Linked DNA regions of Macaca fascicularis. The protein of the gene in region 2 binds, or shares a complex with, the protein of the main gene of each other region. Links are inferred from orthologs where the notes say so. Each region holds a gene or a part of one and is shown on either strand. Other genes may lie near its edges.

What was found.
Region 1: ZBP1 (region 2) and AIM2 share a complex: the UniProt entries of both Homo sapiens proteins name them as parts of the AIM2 PANoptosome complex. The link is inferred for Macaca fascicularis from reciprocal best matches to the Homo sapiens genes ZBP1 and AIM2.

Annotation. Positions count from the first base shown.
Region 1 is NC_088375.1:102,014,247-102,025,327, reverse strand, and holds the end of AIM2 (interferon-inducible protein AIM2), read right to left. Parts: coding exon 11,041-11,081; exon of another isoform or gene 7,097-11,040; intron 6,514-7,096; coding exon 6,380-6,513; intron 5,538-6,379; coding exon of another isoform or gene 5,343-5,537; exon of another isoform or gene 5,032-5,342; intron 4,132-5,031; coding exon 3,712-4,131; intron 3,273-3,711; exon of another isoform or gene 2,963-3,272; intron 2,521-2,962; exon of another isoform or gene 2,364-2,520; intron 1,664-2,363; exon of another isoform or gene 1,393-1,663; intron 1,384-1,392; coding exon 1,195-1,383; intron 426-1,194; coding exon 399-425; 3' UTR 191-398; downstream 1-190. UniProt on the Homo sapiens protein: Sensor component of the AIM2 inflammasome, which mediates inflammasome activation in response to the presence of double-stranded DNA (dsDNA) in the cytosol, leading to subsequent pyroptosis.
Region 2 is NC_088384.1:113,674,556-113,685,636, reverse strand, and holds part of ZBP1 (Z-DNA-binding protein 1), read left to right. Parts: intron 1-1,286; exon of another isoform or gene 1,287-1,437; intron 1,438-1,606; exon of another isoform or gene 1,607-1,775; intron 1,776-2,118; exon of another isoform or gene 2,119-2,254; intron 2,255-2,580; exon of another isoform or gene 2,581-3,468; coding exon 3,469-3,693; intron 3,694-4,353; coding exon 4,354-4,422; intron 4,423-4,876; coding exon 4,877-5,050; intron 5,051-6,588; coding exon 6,589-6,756; intron 6,757-7,197; coding exon of another isoform or gene 7,198-7,247; exon of another isoform or gene 7,248-7,359; intron 7,360-7,990; coding exon 7,991-8,194; intron 8,195-9,533; coding exon 9,534-9,752; intron 9,753-11,081.

The DNA.
Region 1 (11,081 bases), on a different chromosome or scaffold from region 2:
TTTCAAATAATACTGCACTGCTTCACATGTTGTACAGGATCTTCTAACAGTATACTCCTAATTCTTCCCTCTTGTATTTTGTGCAATTGTTGTCATGTAGTTTACTTTTACATTTGTATAAACATATAATACATTGATAAAGTATTTTTGCTTGAGACAAGGGATTGACAAACTAAATGAGATACTGTAATGAATGAGAAACAGATGTTTATTGTGATCATCTGTTGATATTCTGAATTTGTTTATCCAGCAATTATCCTATCCTAATTTGGTGGAGAGAGGAGCCTGTGAACTGCTGCTCTCAGGTAACTTACAATCTGATTGAAGAAGATGTATCACGTATTCTTCAATTAAATGCTGCTTAGACCAGTTGGCTTGAATTGGTCCTTTTTATTTCTCTATGTTTTTTTACTGGCCTTAATAACCTGGATGGAGAAAAAAAAAAAACATGCAGTCTGAGATGCGGTCAATAAGTGGCCCCTCCTCTGTTTGCAGTCACTATGGCCTTCTAAAGTGTATATCACCTTCTGATAAAATTATTTTGTTCCCACCCTTCTAATACATTGGTTTGTCTTGGATCATACTCCCAAAGTGAATATCTGACCTGAGAAATACACTCCAACTTAGCAAGGTCATATATGCATATTTCTCAAGTCTTGGCCTCCACTCCTACAGAGACAGCAGGTAGTACAACCGACACTGAGACTTGGGGAAGAGCACCAACTAGTGGCAGGAGATGGGTAGGAGGGTGTGGTGGAAGGTCAAGAGTAGGGGTTTACATGGACTCAAGTGCCCTGGACTATGGTAGGTGCAGGCGTGGTGGGACTGGCTAGGGAAATGTGTCCTCAAAGTATCTATTGTGTGTCTACTTTCAAAGACATTACTCAGAATGACTTTTCCAACTCTGGGCAAGCTTTCTGCTTTAGACTTGTAGTGTTACTGAGGAGCTCTTTCTTGGGCTCTGTGTGCATAACAGTATGCGCCTCTGCCTTGGAAAGCCCATGTTCTCTTAACTGTGTATCTAGAATACGTGTTTCCTAAGAGGGAGGTTTCTCAGTTCTGGGAGATGGACGTGTATTAAATATCAATGTCTTCCATTCCATATCCTGTTCAATGGCTCCAGTCCAGCTTCCTGACAGAAAGCAAAACATATCACCCCCTTGGAGAGTTGACTTTGCTCCATGCAGTTCCCACCTTTATGGTGCTATGAACTCCAGATGTCAGCTGTGGTTTTTCTCCATTTTTTGACAGTGTGAAGAATGTAAGTCGAACCTTATCTCCTTCCTTACATTGCATGGTGTCCTCGTTTCTAACCGCCAATACTTCCATTTCCCCAGTCTTGTCACTTAGGTCAAATAATACATTTTTCTTCTTTTCTGTTACCTGTAAAAGAAAATCAACATCCAGCCTCTGATAATCTGATTAAGGAATGCCGCATCAGTCACACATCAGACATGCCAGAAGAAGGCTCTAAAAAGAAATACAGTTAATTCTTGAACAACACAGATTTTACCTGTGCAGGTCCATTTACATGGGAATTTTCCTCTGTCTCTGCCACCCCAAGACGGCAAGAGCAACCCTCCTCTTCCTCCTTCCTCCTCAGTCTACTTAACGTGAAGACAGTGATGAAGAACTTTGATGATCTACTGCCACTTAATGAATAGTCAGTATATTTTCTTTTTTGCGATTTTCTTAATAACATTTTTCTCTACCTCACTTTTTAAGAATATAGTATATAACATGTATAACACAAAAATGTGTTAAGTGACTGTTTATATTGTCTGTAAGGCTTCTGGTCAAGAGTAGGCTATTAAGTAGTTAAGTTTTGGGGGAATCAAAAATTATATGCAGATTTTCGACTGCTCGGGGTCAGCAGCCCTAATCCCTACATTGTTCAAGAGTCAACTTGAAGAAAAAGTTTCTGCTTTGAAACTAGCAGGTATATATCTAATAGATGTTAGCAAATTCACACAGAGGAGGCAGACATGTCTTACTTAGAATATGCTGTCTCCTATGCCCATCTTTCCAGTCCCAAACTCCCTTCCTTTAGGAGGAGGCCAGGGTGGCCCATAGAAGCAACAACTGCTGGATAGAGAGGATGGAGCTTCTCCAGGGCCAGTAGCCAGATTAGTCAGGGGAAAAAAGAAGACCCTGGGGTTGGAAGAGAGCTATTTTTTTTTTTTTTTTTTTTGAAACAGAGTTTCGCTCCTTCACCCAGGCTGGAGTGCGATGGTGCAATCTTGGCTCACTGCAACCTCCACCTCACTGGGTTCAAGCCATTCTCCTGCCTCAGCCTCCAGAGTAGCTGGGATTATATATAGGTCCCTACCAATACACCCGGCTAATTTTTGTATTTTTACTAGAGACAGGTTTTGCCACATTGGCCAGGATGATCTGGAACTCCTCAACTCTGGCGATCCACCTGCCTTGGCTTCCCAAAGTGCTAGGATTATAGGCATGAGCTGCCGTGCCCAGCCTGAAGACAGCTATTTAAAACAACAAGTCCAGGAGAGACATGAGGTAATGATGCAAGATCCAGCTGAGAGTCTAGTAAGTAATCAAAGACAAGAAATAATGCACAATCAAGTCTAGATCAAAAGGAAATAGGAGGTTGGTCAGTTATTTCGGAGATTGATTGTATTTTAGCTTTAATTTTGTGGACTAAATCAATATATGTTAGTGGCCAGATTAAAAGCTGAAAACTGGGACAAAGAACATGACCTTCCTATCCAAGGTCATTTTACACTTGAGTTTTCCAAGAGGACTGGAGAGTCTTCCTATCAATTCCTTCTAAAACTAACCCAAGGCAGCAGAGGTTATTCTGAGGCTCTGAATGCAGGGGCAGCAGGTTCCCTCTCTACGGTTCTTCAGGTCCTGCCCTAGACCAGAAAAAGTCATTCCACAAGGCTAGTTCCCTGAAGCTCAGAGTCATAATACTTTATTATTTCTCACTTCTAATAAGTCTCCTCGAGGAGTGCCTCTGCCCGGCCACCCCACCGTCTGAGAAGTGAAGAGGGCCTCTGCCCGGCCGCCCCACCGTCTGGGAAGTGAGGAGGGCCTCTGCCCGGCCGCCCCACCGTCTGGGAAGTGAGGAGGGCCTCTGCCCGGCCGCCCCACCGTCTGGAAAGAGAGGAGCGCCAGCCGCTGTGCAACCTTCCAAGTGTGAAGTGATAGCCTTGTATGTGATCTTTTCTGTCTTCCCCAAGTTTGCATTTTCGACATTAAAGTTTACTTTTAATTAAAAAGAAAGAAATAAATAAGTCTCCTCAAGCTAACTCTTTCTTCTGTTTTCTTCATTTAATCACAGTTCTTTAATCCTGACTTGCATATTGGTTTTTCAGGTCAATTAATTTGGTTGATTACTCAACTACACTTATTTTGCAATCACAACAATAGTCACTTAAAATAAAGATAATATGGACAAAGTACAAAAATAACGCAGAAATAAAAACTATGTGAACGAACTAATTCCTTTTTCAGAGGCTACTGGGATAAGAATAAGTTGAAACAGGATTGTGACATTTTTGACAATAAAAACAATTTTTGAGTTTTCGTATGAATTTTGGCATGTTAACTCTGCAGCTCTTTAGAACTTTGTATTTTTTTATTTTGTCTGTATAGACATTAACACCTTTTCTAAAGTCTCTTTAAGATCAGATGGAAAATACGTTATTCTTACTAATCAATATGAAATTAGCTATGAAAACTTACCTTCTGGACTACAAACAACCCATTCACAATTGTTCCAAGGGGCTGAGTTTGAAGCGTGTTGATCTTTGGGGTTTCACCAGCTTTTCTGATAATGTTCAGCGGGACATCAACCTTTTGGTCAGATTTAGCATCTAACACACATGAGGCGCTATTTACCTCTAAGAAACCACTGTGCTGATAATATCTTGATATTATAATCATTCTCTTTGGAATGAATTTATCTTTCAGCAGTGTATTAAAAACTTTTACAAAGAAGAATTCCTTCTCTGTAGCCACCGTAGCATGAAACATCTCTTGCTTGCCTTCTTGGGTCTCAAACGTGAAGGGCTTTGTTGCTTTCAGTACCATAACTGGCAAACAGTCTTTCCGAAACTCTTCTCTGATAGATTCCTGCTGGGCCACCCTCTGTTTCTGCTCAGGCTGAAGACAAGAGAAGAAAGATATCAGCTGTGAGTCAAAAAGGTACTATTGAGAGGACCTTCCTTCACCCACAGTGCTAAGCCTCAGGAAACCACAGAAGACAGGTGGAATCAAGGGAAGAGACACAGAGGGGATAAGAAGAGACTTGAGGCCTAGAATGATCTAGATGGAACAGAGAGTGCAGAAGGAAGATTTCAACTCCTGTATTCAGATAAGACGGTGTAACATGTTTTGGAGGAAGGATCCCTAAAACCAAATCCTTGCTTTGCCATGTGCTGTATAAAAAGACTTCATCAGATTTCTGAAATATTGCTAAGCCTCGGGGTAAATCTGATAAATCTGATTCCATCTTCTGTGGATTCCATTCGGGCATAATATATCCTTGTTTCTCTATCCAACACTGTCCTAAACATTCATTTTACTCTGGTATAAAAGTGAGAGAGCTCAGTGACCTGCACAGGGTTCCCCAAATTCCTAGGGAGGTATTGTACGTAACAAAATGTAGACTATGTTTAATGTGAGTTAAGGGGGAGACCTAGGTCAGAGATCTTACAAGTGAGTTAAAGGAGAAATTTAAAAGGAGAATTGATACTACATTTGTGGATTTACCCTTAAATAATGAATTATGCACTAAGGTTTACATTTTAAAAATATATCTTATTATTTGAAATTATAAAAAAAGAAATAATTTAAATACATAAAAAATAGAATTTGGTTAAACAAAATATGGTATAGTCACAAATAGATTACTATACAAATATTAAAAATGCTTTAGAGAAATAATGTGATAAACTGTTATAACTGACTCAATAAAGGGAAAGGTCCTAAACAGATAAAAAATCTCTTTCTTTTTGGATAAATAAGCAGTTAAAGCACATACACAAACACACTACAGAGATATTTACCAACATCAATATTTTTTTCCTAGATGATACAATTATAGGTAATTTTATTCGCTTCTCTGTGTTTTTTATTTTTCTGAATTAACAGAGATAAGATACCTTTTTTGGTTTGTTTTGGGAGAAAATACTACTTTTTAAAAGCAACTTGCCATCTAGAACCAAATGGAAATACAGGGAAAAACAAACAGAGGCATAAAAAGTCAAGTGTAGGAGTCTCGAAGGCTGTCTCCGATGTGACCTGAAGCTTGGGCCAGTGGAGCTGGGGCCAGTAAGGGGCCCTGACGGGCAGTATAACTGACTGCATTTGGATCAATGCAGGTAAAGGTCAGTTCCACTGAGTTCCACTACAAAAGTCCTCTTTGGTCCATGTATCTTTAGTTGAGTCTTCCAGACTGAATGATGCACATTTTCATTACTGGTGATGGAATCACACCATGTATACTTGAACCTTGTTTTCTGAAAAATCCAGAAGTTTCTGGGCCAAACCCAGAGGAAATGGCTCCTCTAGACAAAGAGAATGAAGTATGTGTAATCAGTTTCTAGAGCTCACACAGCTATAAAATGGTGTAACACCTGCTTCACAGGAAATGAAATTGCATGTGTGGTGGATTCTGTGTTGGGCCTTTCCGATATTGCCTGCCGCTCCCTCAGGACTAAAGTAATCATTCTCATCAATGAGACTCTTCAGGCACTACTCTCTCAGCTAAACAGGGCCACCTCACCTTGTCCATGCAGGTGTATAAAGGGCTTTTTTACATTACTTTTAAAAAGCAATTTGCTGTCAAGAACTAAGGGAAAATACAGGGGAAAACAAACAGAGGCATGCCAGGCCGAGTGTAAGAGTCTCTGCAATAGATCTCTGATGTGACCCAGAGCCTGGGTCTGTGCAAACCACAGACTCCCCCACCAGTCTTGGGAGCCCTGAAGGGCATTCTCAGCTCCCGAGCTCCCTGTGGGGTAGGCCAAGGCCTCTATTGCAACTATATTGGACTTGACATTCTTCCTCTTCTACTCCTTTCACTTCCTCACAGATACTAATTCTGAAAGTGCTCTAAAATAGACTTCCTGTAAACAACTGTCTATCTCAGAGTTTTCGTCTTATAGAATCCAAACCATAACAGAGTGTTAATGTGTCCAGGCCCTGACAGAGATTAGAAGCTCAACAGGTGTTTAATCTGATTAATCAGAGGTAGTTCCTGTTTTTGTGACTCAGAGTGCTTTTCACACTGTGGCCTTAATTCCCTTATTTGCATGCTCTGAGATAAAGAACAGAGAACAATGTGGGAAATGACAGTGACAGTGATGCTCTTACAAGGACAAAGACCACTCCACTCTCCTCATCCTACCTTAACATGAGGAGAGACTTTTGGTGCAGCACGTTGCTTTGTGACATCATTTCTGACGGCTGCAGATGCAGCAGGACTCATTTCAGGTTGACTTAGTGGCTTTGGTTTTGTTACCGATTTGTATTCCTTATCAACTGATTAAAAAATGGAAGACATGGCCAATAAGCATATAAACATATGAGCAGTGCACATTTTCAAATGTCACCAGAAATAAATACTAAAACCATATTAAGATATCTTCAAGAGCAGTTAATTTTTCTAAAAAAAAAAAAAAATCTTGTTTTAAAATGAAAGAAACTGGACCTGGCACAGACACCTGTAATCCCAGCACTTTGGGAGGCCAAGGCTGGAGGATCAACCCGAGGCCAGGAGTTTGAGACCAGCTTAGTCAACATAGGGAGACCCTATCTTTATAAAAAATATTTTCAAAATTAGCCAGGTGCAATGTCACATGTTTTCAGTCTCAGCTACTTGGGAGGGTGAGGCAGGAGGATAACTTAAGCCCAGGAGTTCAAAGCTGCAGTGAGTCGTGATCACACCACTGCACTCCAGCTTGGATGACACAGTGAGACCTTGTCTGTCTCAAAAAAAAAAAAAACAAAAAACAAAAACAAAAGACAAAAAACAAAAGAAACTATGAAGTCTTAGTCTTAAATCGGTATAACACTTTGGAAAATGGTTTGGGACTCTATTTATTGAAATTCAATATCTACTTACCTTAACATCCAGTAATTCCATTCACAGGTGTACAGTCAAGAGAAACACACATACAAATACAAACATACAAAGATAAGTACATAAGGCTTATAATAAATATTCATAGCAGCATTTTTCACAATGGCCTCAAATGACTAAAATAACAATAAAAAATAGACCAATTCTCTCTCTATATATGTATATGTATATGAGTTTATATGTGTATGTAATTATCAATTAAATGGAATCTTATGTAGTAGTGAAAATGAATAAACTACTGCTATGAAACAAGGGCTGATTTCTTTTCTTTTCTTTTTTTTTTTTTTGAGGCAGAGTCTCACTCCGTCACCCAAGCTGGAGTGCAGTGGCCCAATCTCGTCTCACTGCAACCTCCACCTCCCAGGTTCAAGTGATTCTCCTGCCTCAGCCTCCTGAGTAGCTGGGATTACAGGTTCATGCCACCATGCCTGACTAATTTTTGTATTTTTTTAGTAAAGACGGGGTTTCACCATGTGGGTCAGGCTGGTCTTAAACTCCTCACCTTGTGATCCGCCTACCTCAGCCTCCCAAAGTGCTGGGATTACAGGCATGAGCCACCGCACCTGGCCACAGATTTCTAATTATGTTCTACAAGGCCTTGCCTTGTCCTTCTATCGAGGGGACCCCATCCTGCCCTCTGAAGACTCTCTGTACTCCAGCTACACTGGCCTTCTTTCAGTCCTCAAGCAGGTCAACACCTGCTGTCATAGGGATTTTCACAGTGTTCCCTCTGACTGAAGGTACCTTTAACTCCTATGCATTTTTCAGAGCTTAGTGCAAGGGTCACTTCCCTATGGAACCCACTTTGACCAACACCAACTCTAATTCGTGGCTTATGTTAATGCTCCTTTGACACATGCTGCTGAAGAACCATCTTCCTTTCCATTAGAGCATTTGTCTCAATTAATTACATTCATAAATTTTCCTGTAAGAAAAATATCTACTTTCCCTTTAGAATAGAAGCTGTATAAAATTTGGATTTGTTTTTAACACCTTGTTTTATCATAAGAACCTAAAAGCTTTCCTTGTACCTATTAGCAATTCAATAGATATTTACTGAATGGATGAAGAAATGGATGGATGGGTGGCATGTTGGCTCCTCACTAATGCCTACAAAATGCAGTTGTATACTTTGGCTGGGCTCCTCCACATCTATGGTCAGGTTATATGTTATTGTGAAAAGCCAACTCCTAGTCCTGATTTTTAAAAAGACCATGTAACAAGATGGTCGTGTTTAATGACTTAAGGCACTCTCAGGCAGAAGAGGGCCTGAGAAATTATTAGATGTCATTTCTGATAGAATTTGAACAACTCTGGGCTGAAATAGCAAGGCAATCACTTTGATTTTACTAAAAACAGAAACGATACTGTTTTATGAGGCAGTAGGTACTCTGTCATTACCTTTCAAAGATCAGAAAGTGGTTGACTGTCTGACAGGGATATTGTAGCAGGATCTCTGCTCTAGAAAGAAGTTACACTAACCTTCTAATGATAAGTTAGTTCCATGCAACTGGTTTCAGAAAGGTATGCAGATAAAGTCTCTTCTATGTTCACAGCATCGGCGAGAAAACAGCATCAAGGAGGCCAAGGGAATCAACCTACCGTTCTACCACATCACATCAGCCATACTTCATCTCACACACCGTGGTACCAATATTTGTGGACAAGCTTGTCTGCCCACTATAAATCTCTCATTTGCCTTAATAATCAGGTGGACATTGTTACTGATTATCTCATTTATCATTTTCAGCATTTTATTTTAATCTTGCAGGACTTCTGTAGACTGTGATCACATTTTCTCTTCGCTTCCTTTTTCTATGCTTATGAGTCCTTGTATTTTCTCATCTTGCTTCATACAAAAGCTTCTCCTCTCTACTAATTATTGCCTCTGTCTTCATTAAAGATTCTCCAGGTATCTTCTACCTTCCATGGGGTGAGGTTGTGAGTAGAAGAGCATATAGCACTCTACATGCAGACATGCCATGGCAACAGAGAAGGATCACTTAAACAAGAATGATAGTAACTGTTCAAAAAAAATGAAACAAAAGCTTTTCATACAATAATAGAAATAGCATGGACACACAAAAATTTCCTACATTCAAAAGAGGCCTAAGTATGTCCACGGATGGAATTTGAGAGCGATGAAGGAACTCAGTTGCCTTCTTGTAGAGCATGCAGGAAGCATACTTTGTGTTTTGTTGTTGTTGTTGTTGTTGTTGTTGTTGTTGTTTGAGACAGGGTCTCACTATTGTTGCCCAGGCAGGGGTGCAGAGGCATGATCTCAGCTTACTGCAACCTCTGCCTCCCGGGTTCAAGTTGATTCTCGTGCCTCAGCCTCCTGAGTAGCTGGCATTACAGACGCCTGCCACCATGCCTGGCTAATTTTTGTATTTGTAGTAGAGACAAAGTTTCACCATGTTGACCAGGCGGATCTCGAACTCTTGACCTCAAGTGATCCACCTGCCTTGGCCTCCCAAAGTGCTGGGATTAAAGGTGTGAGCCACTGCACCTGGCCCAAAAGCATACTTTGAATTCTACAACTGTTACATTTGGAGACTCTCATTTGGGACAGCCTCTGGATGATCTACTCCTGAGTCTCCAAGTTAGTCCCAAACTGGATCTTTTTTAGCTAAGTAGAATAACAAAATCCCAGAATCATTAGAACAGCAAAATGGGGAGAAGATTGTAGAAGGGGAAATTTTGTGCTATCCTGGTCAAAGAGAAGAATTAATTCTTGATTTATTGCCAAAATAGAAGATATTTCTAAATATCTCAGCCTATGTTTGCCAATAGATTCCTGTCTCATCCCAGATAAGAAACACAGGGCAGCTGGTTACATGGAAGTAACATGGGTAGTTACTGCCATCTAAGGGCCATCTTAAAGAACTACACCTTCTAACTTAAAGCCTGGGAAAACAACCACTCCTTTCTCATTAGTGCCTTAGAAACTACCTCACAGTTTACATCTGTATAGAATTATGGACCTACATAGTATCACTTATGTGGCTTCATTTAACCTTCTTATAAACCATGTGTGAGAAGCCATGTCACCGTGTTGTACACCCACAAATGCTATTAAAAGCTGTTGTAATCTTTGCTGTTACGGTTTTACTTTGAATCCTAAAACTGTTGCATTTGGAGACTCTCATTTGGGACAGTCCTGGAGTGATATGCTCCTTTGTTAGCTCTTTTTTGTTCTTCAGACATAAAGCCGGGACGTATCAATTGTTCTTAGTAAACAAAATCAGGAATTTAAACTAAATGTATATAATTCAGATGGAGATGATGAGTGATTTATTGAATGATGTTAAAAAAGTCTTTTTGCTGTGGGTAATTTATACTGTCACTGGAGATAGAGAGGAGAGAGAATCCCTGAAGGAGGATTCTCCCTCCCTGAAGAAGGAGGAGATCATTCCCTAAAGAAAGCAGCATAGTCTGGGACCATAGAAAGATAGGGACATGGAGAGAAATAAACAGACTGTGTGAAGGAAAAAAAGGTGCTCAATATCCTGGTTTACAATTTTCCAATGCAATAATTTATATTTTTGAGACTTCAGTAGAATGTGAGAGCATTACATACTGTGGAAATGGAGTTGGGAAAAGTTAACTTTGAAATTCTACATCCATATTCACTGTAATTGAACTGGAGACAAAGATGGGCAAGGAGAAAAGATGATAAATGGAAGTGGTCACCCTAAAGGCTGGAACAAGAGATGCAAACCAAGGCTGGAATGGATTTGTGGAATTTGTAACAAACACTTCCTACAAGTGATTCTCAGTAAAAGGGGGCAAAGAGACAGGTGCACTAAGTTAGCAAACAAATTCCAACAGTGTGCACTGGGGGTCATATCCCAGGGACGCCATGAAAGGAAAGGCCCAGGCTTGGCAGAGAAAGGGACTGGGCAGGTGCGGGACTACCACATTACCTTTCTCCTTCTCTTCCTTAAGACGTTTTACCAAAAGCATA
Region 2 (11,081 bases):
CTGGAGAATCGCTTGAACCCGGGAGGTGGAGGTTGTAGTGAGCTGAGATGGCGCCATTGCACTCCAGCCTGGGTGATAAGAGTAAGACTTCGTCTCAAGAAAAAAAAAAAGAAAAGTAGAAAGCTGTCGTTCGACAGCTGACTATGCCCTGGGCACCTCAAAACAAGCTTCGCAAGCATTTCTCAATGGCCTGCAGGGACAAGTGCCATGTCATTCCCATTTTATAGATAACTGAGGCCCTGAGAGGTGAAATGACACTCTCGGGGTAGCACAGCTGGTGAGCACTGGTGCTAGCGTTTGAACACCCATGTCACAGTCATATCGAGAACAAAGCAGTTTGCTTTGATGAGGTACATGTATGCCCTTGTTCCTTGTTGTTGCATTCTTTCCTCAACTAACATTTCATTCATTTTATTCCTGGAAGAGCTGCAATGAAAGCCAATAGTGTATCAAGCAATTGCTGTTCTCTAGGGTCTCCACGAAGCGCTGTGGACTGTAGGTGAAGTGTGGTTTTGCAGTTTGGGGGATGGGTTTGTTTTGTTTTTAATCCTCACCGCAATCTTTGAAGTAGTTATTATTGTCTCCATTTCACAGAAGGGGAACCTGAAGCCGGGGGGAGGTCACATAGCTAGTAGTTGTCAGGGCTAGGAGCTCAAACCCAGGAAATCAGCCATCAAAATTTTAAAAAACCAACCCAGACTGTGCCCCTGGTGGGCTAATGTCAGGGTGTGGCCAGGAGCCGCGCTGGCCACCGAGTTCCTGTGGTGCTTCCTCTTCGGGGACTCACAGGTGCTGACAGAGGTTCCGGACTCAGCCCTCGCTGGCTTTCCTTGTCTTCCTCCCCAGTTGATTTTCCTTTTGTGACCAAATTGCTGCCTACACCTGCTCCATTTTACAATTTTCCATTTTCAGACATAGGAGCCTGGGACTTAGCGGTCGAGTCTAGCCCAGCACCCGGGCTTGTCCTGCATCCACACCTCTGACCCCCATCTCCTCTTGGATCTGTGGAGCAGAGGTGGTGGCTCCCTAGGGTCAGCCTTCCAGAATCAAAACTCTGCAGCCGGGCACAGTGGCTCACGCCTGTAATCCCAGCATTTTGGGGGGCCAAGTTGGGGGGATCACCTAAGGTCAGGAGTTCGACACCAGCCTGGCCAACAAAGGGAAACCCTGTCTCTACTAAAAATACAAAAATTAGCCGGGTGTAGTGGTGCGTGCCTGTCATCCCAGCTACTTGAGAGGCTGAGGCAGGAGAATTGCTTGAACCCGGTGCGTGTCTGTAATCCCAGCTACTTAAGAGGCTGAGGCAGGAGAACTGCTTGAACCCAGGAGGTGGAGGTTGTGGTGAGCCGAGATCGCGCCACTGCAGCTGCAGACTGGGCAACAAGAGTGAATCTCTGTCTCAACAACAAAAAACTCCGAGAGACAAGGCGAAGCCAGGTGTGAAGTCAGGTGCACGGGGATGCTGCTGGCTGCCGGTGGGGGAGTTTGGTAGGCGCAGGAGTGGGAATTCCCAGGTCTTCTCATTTCTCTTCACCTGCACACGGTAGCCTGTCAGCATTGTAGCCATCAGGGCGAGGCACAAACTGATTTTTCCCTCCCCTACAAGTGCTGCGACCGAAGATCCCTGGGCAACCCTAGAGAATCCTCTGAACAGGAAGAAAGCCCAGATGACAAGGACTGAGTCACTGTCCTGGAAGGGGAACTCGGGTCTTTCCCAGAAGAGCTCTCCCACGCACTGCCCTCGGGTTCCTTGAAGCAGAACCTTCTGGTGACAGGTGGGCCCCCCCCCCACCGTGGCTCTCCCAGGCTGCTGGCTGCAGGTGCTGCCTGTACCCTGTGTCTGCCCCAGCCTCATCTCTGGGCAGTGGCTGGCTTTGATTTTTTAATCATTGTTTGAGCTAATGGTTTTGATTTTTAAGAGCTGCCTCAGGAGGAGCAGGGGCCATTTGGAGAATTCCTCCTTGAATCTCTTGGGGTCCTGCTTAGGGCTCATTAAACTCAGGCCAGGAAACAGCAGCACCTGCCAACTGGCCAAGGAGGAGCTGCCTGGGTCTACTGAGTAAATGTCTGTCCCTAGAGACAGACACTCACTTACTCAGTCCTTTTTTTTTTTTCCAGAGATGGGGTCTTGCTCTGTTGCCCAGGCTGGAGTACAGCGGTGCATTCATAGCTCACTGCAGCTGCAACCTCCTAGACTCAAGCGATCCTCCCATTTCAGCCTCTTGAGCATCTGGAACTACAGGCACGTGCCATCATACCTACCTGATTTTTTTTCTGTTTTTGTAGAGATGGGGGTCTCACTATGTTGCCCAGGCTGGTCTAGAACTCTTGGCCTCTAGGGGTCCTCCAATCTCAGCCTCCTGACATGCTAGGATTACAAGTGTGAGCCACCACTCCTGGTCCCATTCATTCATTCATTCATTCACTCAGTCACTCATACATTCAACTGCCATTTCCTGAGCACGTCCTGTGTGCCCAGCACTGTGCTACATGCTGACGGTACAACAGTGAGCCACGCAAGTACAGCAGGGGACACGAGGGGACCCACACACAAGCAGATCCCAGCCACTCTGGAACACAGGGACAGGCTTCCCCAAGGAAGTGGCATGTGAGGAGGCTGGAGGTTGAGTAGACATCATACAGGTTGGGATGTGGGGGAAGGGTGTTCCTGGCAGCCGGAACAGTGTGTGCAAAGGGGCTGGGGTGAGTGGGGCTAAAGGGAGCACAAACAGGCCAGCACTTGGAGGGAAGTTGGGAGCAGGTGCAGGTCAAGCTGGGTGGTCGGCAGAGCCAGATCTGGAGGGTACCCGACTGGAGCTGGTGGGCCAACCGGGAGCCTATTGCTGCACCCAGGAGATGGTGGTGAGGAAGCGGGTGGTGCCGGCAGAAGAGAGGAGTGGGGCAATTCCAGAAAATCCAAGAATGGCATTTCCAGGGCTCCACGACTGGGCACTGGGGGAAAGGTCTGTTTCTGATGTCTGGTCGGTTTCTGGCTTCGATGGATAGTGGCACCATGGAAGGATGGTGAGCTGAGAAGAGGCGATTGATTCCCAGGGAGGATGGCAATGGGCATCAGGTACACCCAGGCAGGACTTGCCTTTGTGCTCCCAGGTCCCCCTGCCTCCCTCTGGCTCCGTCCTTCTGCCCTCTACTCCTCTCTGCCCTGAGGACACCTGAGAGCTGAGGAACCCCACTGCCCCCTGGCACCCACACCCGGGGAGGGCACAGGCGAGGCGGCACCTCCTCTGGCTGCCAGGCCATTTCTGATCAGCCTGCATGCCTCTCTCTGGGCAGGGGCAGCTGCTCTGCTGCTCTTAGGGGGTATCTGCTGGGGTCTTTGCCCTCTCCTCTGCCCTGGACACCTCTCAAAAAGGGGCCTCACGTGCCTCTTGGAGCCTCCAGCCTGGGCTCATCTGTGGGGACCCGGGAGACTCAGTCCCTATCTCTGTCCCCCGCTCACTCCCCCAGGCCACCTTGAACAGAGGATCCTGCAGGTGCTGACAGAGGCTGGCTCCCCAGTGAAGCTTGCCCAGCTGGTGAAGGAATGCCAAGCACCCAAGAGGGAGCTCAACCAAGTCCTCTACCGAATGCTAAAGGAGCTGAAAGTCTCCCTCACAGCCCCCGCCACCTGGCGCTTGGGCGGGACTGGTCCTGGAGGCGAGGGTCCTGCAGAGCTGGCCCTGTCCAGCCCTGGTAACTGCCACCCTGGGGAGGTGGGTCTGACCAGGCAGGGACCATCCTGGCAATGGACAAGCATAGATTTGAGCCTGGGTTCGAATCTGAGTTCTGCCACTTGGGAGCTCACGGGTTTCATCTCTGTGCCTTGGTTTCTTTTTCTGGTTGATGGAGCTGACAGCAGGGCTGCTTGGTAGGGGTTGCTGAGAGAAGGCCTTGCATCAGGCTCAGCCCAGCCCTGCACACAGAAAGTACTCAGCGGAACACTAACAATTATAACAGAAAATCATCATGATGGAAACAGCAATGACATGATGGTCCTAATCACAGAACACACTCAGTCCCACCAGCCCCCCTTTTCTAGCTTTACAGCCCACAGCCAGAAAGAGCTGCCATTTGTCATGCACTTAAGATTAGCTGGGCACTGTTTCAGGGTTCACCCAGCCCTCACACAACCCCAGGAGGCAAAGGAGGTTGAGCCCCGGAGAAGTAAACCAGCAGGAAGCCGCAGCTGCCAGGGCACAGGCAGGACTTGATGTCAAGTGTGTTTAACTCTGGAGTCTGAGTTTGCAACTACCGGCGTTGCAGCTCACCCTAGGGTGCTGCCCACCTTTGTGGGGTGGAGCCCTGGTGCTGTTTTCTGTCCCCCACCCCTCTGACCCGTCTTTCTTTCTCCAGCCGAGAGGCCCCAGCAATGTGTAGCTACAGTTCCAGAGACCCCTAGCCCTCAGTTCAGCCAACAGCGGGGTAAGTCATTGCATGCCCCTTCAGCTCCCGGGACACAGGATCCCACTCCTCAGGAACCCCAGGCCCTCCTTGAGGGTACGAGATCTCACCAGTGTTCAGGGGCCCTGTCCCACCCACCAGGTGGCTCCCAAACAGTGTTCAGAGCCAAGACCCAGCCCTGACAGCGGGAGAATCTGAATGTCGAGCAGTGATTTCTCCAGTCAGACAATAGCTGACCCTCACCATGCACCCACCATGTGCCAGGCCCAGGGCAGAGCACTGCGTGCACATCCCCCATCCTCAGGGCACCTCTGCGGTGCGTCATCATGACCCCGTTATCGTGGTGCCCATTTTACAGATGAGGAAACCAGGCCTCGAGGGGCTGGGTCCAGGGCCACACAGCTAGAAAGCGGTGGGTGAGGCAGATGCAAATTCTAGGACTCCTCTCTAACCACGTGGCCGTCCTGCCTCCCAGAGGAAGACATCTACAGGTTTCTCAAAGACAATGGTCCCCAGAGGGCCCTGGTCATCGCCCAGGCACTGGGAATGAGGACAGCAAAAGATGTGAACCCAGACTTGTACAGGATGAAGAGCAGGCACCTTCTGGACGTGGATGAGCAGTCCAAAGTGTGGACGATTTACCGCCCAGGTAGGCCCCCAGCTGCCTGCACCTGGGCTGCAGAGGGAAACCATGACACTAGCGCTTGGTCTTTGCTGGGTGCTCTGCTGAGAAGCTCACCAGAAACTGCCAGAAGCTTCTGGAGGTCCCACTGACAGTTCACTGCAAGGGCTTCCAGGAGGAAGGGGTGTGCTGGCAGGATTAACCAGGAACAGCTTCCTGGAGTCGTGGCCCAAGGGCTGCAGTTGCAGAAGGCCAGCGAATGGGATGGAGGTGGCCCATTCCCAATGTTCTCAGCTCTGAGGTGCAGGTATCAGTCTGGGTTTGGGAATAGTTTTCTTTGAGCACTTTGCCCAAGTTGGGGTTTTAAAGTTGGCAGAAGAGAAGGCAAGACTAGGCTCAGACCCCTACTGGGTGGAGCCCCAGGGTCGTCTTCCCTGTGAGATCTAATAGGCGCAGGGCCAAGATCCAACAGGCCCATGGCACTCTTAGGGGTCCTTGAAAATGTTTTAATTTTAATTTCATTTAAAATCAGAAGAAATGAATACTATAATAATAATGAATATCTAAAAATGGACCAGGCGTGGTCGCTCATGCCGGTAATCCTAGCACTTTGGGAGGCTGAGGCAGGCGGATCACCTGAGGTCAGCCTGGCCAACATGGCAACCCCCTGTCTCTACTAAAAATACAAAAATTAGCCAGGCCTGGTGGCCGGCGCCTGTAATCCCAGCTACTCGGGAGGCTGAGGTAGGAGAATAGCTTGAACCTGGGAGGCAGAGGTTGCAGTGAGCTGAGATCACACCACTGCACTCCAGCCTGGGCAACAAAAGTGAAACTCTGTCTCAAAAGAAAATTAAATTAAATTAAATTTAATTTAAAAATCCGGCCTGGGTTATCCTTGACATACAATGTAATTTAAATATTTGTGTATGGGGGAAGGGCCCACAAAGGCACAGGAGCCGAGACCCCAGAGGGTGGTGATGGGCCCCACACAGTCTGGGCAGGTGCCTGCCTCGACCGCCATAGGGCGACTCTGCTACTCACGATGGGTGTCCGAGGGGGTCTCAGCATCCTAGGGCTGCTATAAGGAAGGAATAATGCATGACAGTCACCAGATTTTAAACACGAGTGACAAATTCAAATATCTAAAATGTCATGGGTGCGAAGCACAACTGATCTGTCCAATGGGCTGCTGTCTCTCGGCCACTACTCAAGGGAGAAGGGCAATGGTGCAGGTGCTCGGGGGTCCGGGCTGTGGCTGCCCCCCAGGGAGAGCAGTGTGGGGCCCCTGCAGTCCTCCCAGCCAGCAATCATGGCGGCCCAGCCATGGGGGCAGCAAAGGACACAGGTAGGGTGACTCACAGGGCTATTTTCAAGCGAGGCTCCCTCTGAGGTACCTGGGGTGTCTGTTAAACACTCAGCTCTGGCCTCCCACTTGGCCCTACTGACTCGGAACGCCCAGGGTATTTTAACAAGCTCCCCAGGAGAATTTGGTGCTGCCCACTGGTATTGGGAACCCCTGACCCATAGAGAGGGGCGAAGGGATAGAGTTGAATATTATTTTGCAGAAGGTTCTGGAAGAAGAGCAGAGTCGGCCTCAATTATTTACCAGCACAATCCAATCAACATGATCTGCCAGAATGGACCGAATGGCCGGATTTCCATTGCAAACTCCGAAGCCATCCAGATTGGACACGGGAACATCATTACAAGACACACAGCCTCCAGGGAGGATGGTGAGTTACCCGAGAGAGCCCGGGGAGGGGACCTCGGTGGGAGGCCACCTGATCCACTGGGTGGGGGCAAAGGGTAGGGATGGGGAATGGGGGAATTCAGCCCTCCAAGGGGAAAGGGTTGCTTCCAGATCCCCACAGTCCACCTTTGTGGCCGTCCTGAGAATGAGGACGCCCGGATCAAAGCTCTCCTGATTTCCCTGTATTCTGATACCTTCTACGTCATTTTAAAATTTAATTTTATTTTTATTTTTTAATAAAATTTTAAAATTAAGATGGGGTAGCTCTGTGTTGCACCTGACCTTGTGCCTCATTTTCAATGGGGTCCGGTGTTTTTCATGAGAAACGACTCAATTTCCTCTCCCTCCGGGGAATGCCACAGGGGAGGTGATCATAGCACAGTATTTGTTCTGAGACACGCAACTTTCCCCCACATTTTAACAGGCTGGAAACTGGGGTGCATCTCACCACCTGTGCCATCCTGGTTTGGATGAAATGCGGTGTTGCACTTTGAGCCCTTACCCTGTGCTGGGCACTGTGGCAAGAGGGAACAGAGCCACCTGTCAGCCCAGCCTTGTCACCTGTGAGTGACAGCTTCAGCCCCAAAGTCGGGACACTCCCTGTAACCTTGGGAGAACCTTTCCCCTCTGTCAGCCTCAGTTTCCCCAATTGTGAAACTAGGAACTTTGTTCTAGAATCTAGATCATAGTTTCCCCAGCTTTAATCCTCTGAGCCCCACATTCCCGATTCTGGCCATACTCATGTCTGATTATTTAATTAATGTTGAGTAGTGCACATTTTTAAAATTTTATTTTAAAACAATTTTATAGTATTATTTTAAATGAAAACCATTAAAATCACCATAAAAATAAATTGTCCCTGGCAGTTAAAACACTGCAGGAGGCTCTGAGCCTTTGGTGTTAGCACCAAAGGAGACTTTGTCTCTATGAGATCAGAAGGCTCGGGAATGACAGAATCAGAACGAGGAGCTCATTGTTTGGGTTTGTGAGTGTCCCTGCAACATCCAGGCACCAGCCCCAGTCCTGAGAACCCAGGGAGCCCCAAAATGAGCTATTCTGCCAGGTACTCTTGCTGTCTAAGCCAGAGCCTGAAGTCTTTGGCCCCCAGTTTGATGGTGTCTAGGAAGAATTCAGAGGACAGGACTGTGGGTGGTGGTGAGGAGGGGGAAGAAGCCTGCAGTAATCTCTGGTGAGGCTGTGCCACTGTCCCCTGCCAGGTTCTACTGGTCCCCGCCACCTCCCTTCAATGGCACCAGGTCATTCCTCAACTCAGGGGACCCTGAATGATCCCTGGGGGCCCCAGGACATCCACATGGAGCGGTCCATGCTCAGACGGGTGCAGCTGGGACACAGCAATGAGATGAGGCTTCACGGCGTGCTGTCCGAGGGCCCTGCCCACAGCCCCCCTGGCAGCCCTCCAGGTAACTGGGGATCTAGAGGCCAGACCCACCCCTGTCACCCCGTGGGTCCTCACTGGAAGGAACTGGAGCCAGAATCTTTGTGGGCAGAGAAGCATGATGGGAAATTCCTTTCCTTCCACCAGGCAGCTGAACCAGAGCAGAGCAGGTGGGGTTTTTAAAGCTAGCACTCTAGGCTGGACACAGTGGCTCCCACCTGTAATCTTAGCACTTTGGGAAGCCAAAGTGGGTGGATCACCTGAGGTGAGGAGTTCGAGACCAACCTGACCAATATGGTGAAACCATGTCTCTACCAAAAATACCAAAAAAAAAAAAAAAAAAAAAAAGTACTGGGCATGGTGACATGTGCCTGCAATCCCAGCCACTCAGAAGGCTGAGGTAGGAGTATTGCTTCAACCTGGGAGGCAGAGGTTGCAGTGAACGGAGATCGCACCACTGCACTCCAGTCTGAGTGACAGAGTGAGACTCCATCTCAATAAATAAATAAATAAAATAAAGCTAGCCCTCTGGATCCCCATCCCCTACAACCCACTGCAGGAAACCTCAGTTTCCCCATTTGTAAAATGGGCAGAGAAGCAGAGGCTGGGCCAGCTGGAGTAGGGTGATGGTTTGATACTGGAATGGTGTTTAGGGAGGTTGGAAGACAGGTGCCCTACTAGGTGCTGTGGCTGCAGTGACCAGAGGGCCCCGGGCAAAGGCCTCCCCCGCAGTGGGAATGCAGAGATGGGCTGGGGGAGAAGAACCAGCAGGGAAGCCAGAGAGGGAGGAGGAAAGCAGAGGCCCCGGGAAAGGAGTCACCAGAGAGCGGCCAGGCTGGCGAGCCCAGGGAAGCATCTGTGGGGTTCAGCGAGAGGGGTCGTGGTGACCTTGCGGGGGTGGTTTCTGGGAACCAGGGAGCAGAAGGGGTCTGGGGAGTGGAGGAGGTGAGACTCAGTGTGGATGGTTCTTCAGAAGTTTGGGTGGGAAAGGGCAGAGCCAGATGACAGGGGCTGGGGCCAGGCTGGGAGCCCCCATAAGATTTCAACCAAAAGTGGGGGCCAGTGTTCCAGTGCAGTGGGAAGCAGGCAGCAGAGGAGAGAGGAGCTGAATCCCAGAAGACACTGGCGTCCAGATCAGCTGGGCAGGATCAGTGGGGCAGACCCACCAGCTGGTGGAAAGACGCTTCCCAGGCAGCCCAACAGCACGTGTGGAGGTGTGGTGGGCAGGCACAGGCTGTGCGCCTGGGATGGTGTGGGCCGCTGGTGGGAGGTCTGGGGAGGAGGGTGAGTCAGTCTGGGGGTCAGGGCTCCGGGCCACTATCCAGCTGCTCCTGGCTCCAGGCCTGTCTCCCTTTGACCCACAGTCTCTGCCACTGCTGCCGGCCCAGAAGCTTTGTTTGAAGCAAGAATGCCCAGTCCAAGAACTCACCCCAAGGGGGATGCCGCCCAGAGAATCTACATGAAATCATGCTTTCTCGAGGATGCCACCATCGGCAACAGCAACAAAATGTCTATCAGCCCAGGGGTGGCTGGCCCAGGAGGAGTCGCAGGGTCTGGAGACAGGCAGCCAAGGGAGGACGCAGGTGAGCTGGGGTACCGAGTGGACCCCTGTGTGTTCTCTTTCTCTCCCCACCTTCCACTCATTCATTCATTCATTCTCATCAATCATTTGCTAATCTCTGGTTTCCCAGAGTCTGGAGGCAATGCTCACCCATAGCGAGGAGCAGCAGCTCTACAGTCAGAGCTCGAGGCTCCGTCCGCCTAGTGGAGGGGCCCACCCAAGTCACTTCACCCGGGAGCCTCTGTCTCCTTAGCTGGAAAGTGGGATGGTAAGAATAGCCTGAAGCAACCCCTACAGTGGTTGCAAGGCTGAGATAAAATCTGAAGGCAGAGCTCAGCCCTGCACCAGCCCTGCCAGCATTCAGGAGATAGGAGTGTTATTGCTGTCATGATTGTTTTGGGCCCAGAAAGGTGCTGGGTTGCCATGCAAATAAGGTTCTGCATCAGGGCACAGGCTGACTTGCCGCAGCGGAGACGCCACACATGGTGGCCCCGCCTGCTCGAAGCCCAGGTCTCATGTCTGGGTGAGGGTAGCAGACCAGGGATTCTTTTCCCTCAGGGATGAGTTGTCCCTGGGGCTCTATCCTCATCTGTGGGGTTGAACTTGGCACCAGCAAGCAGAGGGGCAAGACAGGTACAGAGAGCCGCTGTTGTCTTTGACCAAGCCCACCCACCGCATCTGCGCTGTTCCGAGGGCCAGCACTTAGCCACGGGGGATCTGGGAAGTGCCGCCTGTGTCGAGGCAGCCTAAGCTCAGCAGAGACTGAGGGGAGGGGCTCCACTGCCAACAGGAAGAGGGGAGAGGGGACACCAGCGCGGTTCACCTTCCCAGCCACAGTTCTGCCCCTGGAAGCTGCACAGGCTGGTTGCAGAGCCCGAGGATCCCAACTCTGCAGAAGGGAGCTCGGGGCCTGGGGTAGGGGCAGCTGGAGAGTAGGGCAGGTCCATACAAGGTGGATCCATACAGGGCAGGTGTACCTGGTGGGTGGAACAGTGTGGACAATGGCCTGGAGGTGAGGACACGACAGTACAGGAACCCACAGGGGTCTGAGGGTGACCTGAGTGTGGAGAGCAGAGCCAGGGTCTAGCTCCAGGCGGCAGTTGATGCTAAGGCAACTGGGAGCCATGGGGGCCTTAAGCAGGAGAGGGGCAGGATGAGATTTATGCCTCCCATATGAAGAAAGAATTAGGAGGATTTGCACTCCTACCCTTTTGGGATCTGGAATAAGGGGTCACACCCAATCCCACCAGTGGGTAGAAAACGTGGATTCACAGAATCTGGAGGATTGGCCAGCATCCACCTTCCAGTGCCTGAAGGCCCAGGGGACGCATGTCCTGGAAGTCCAGAGGGT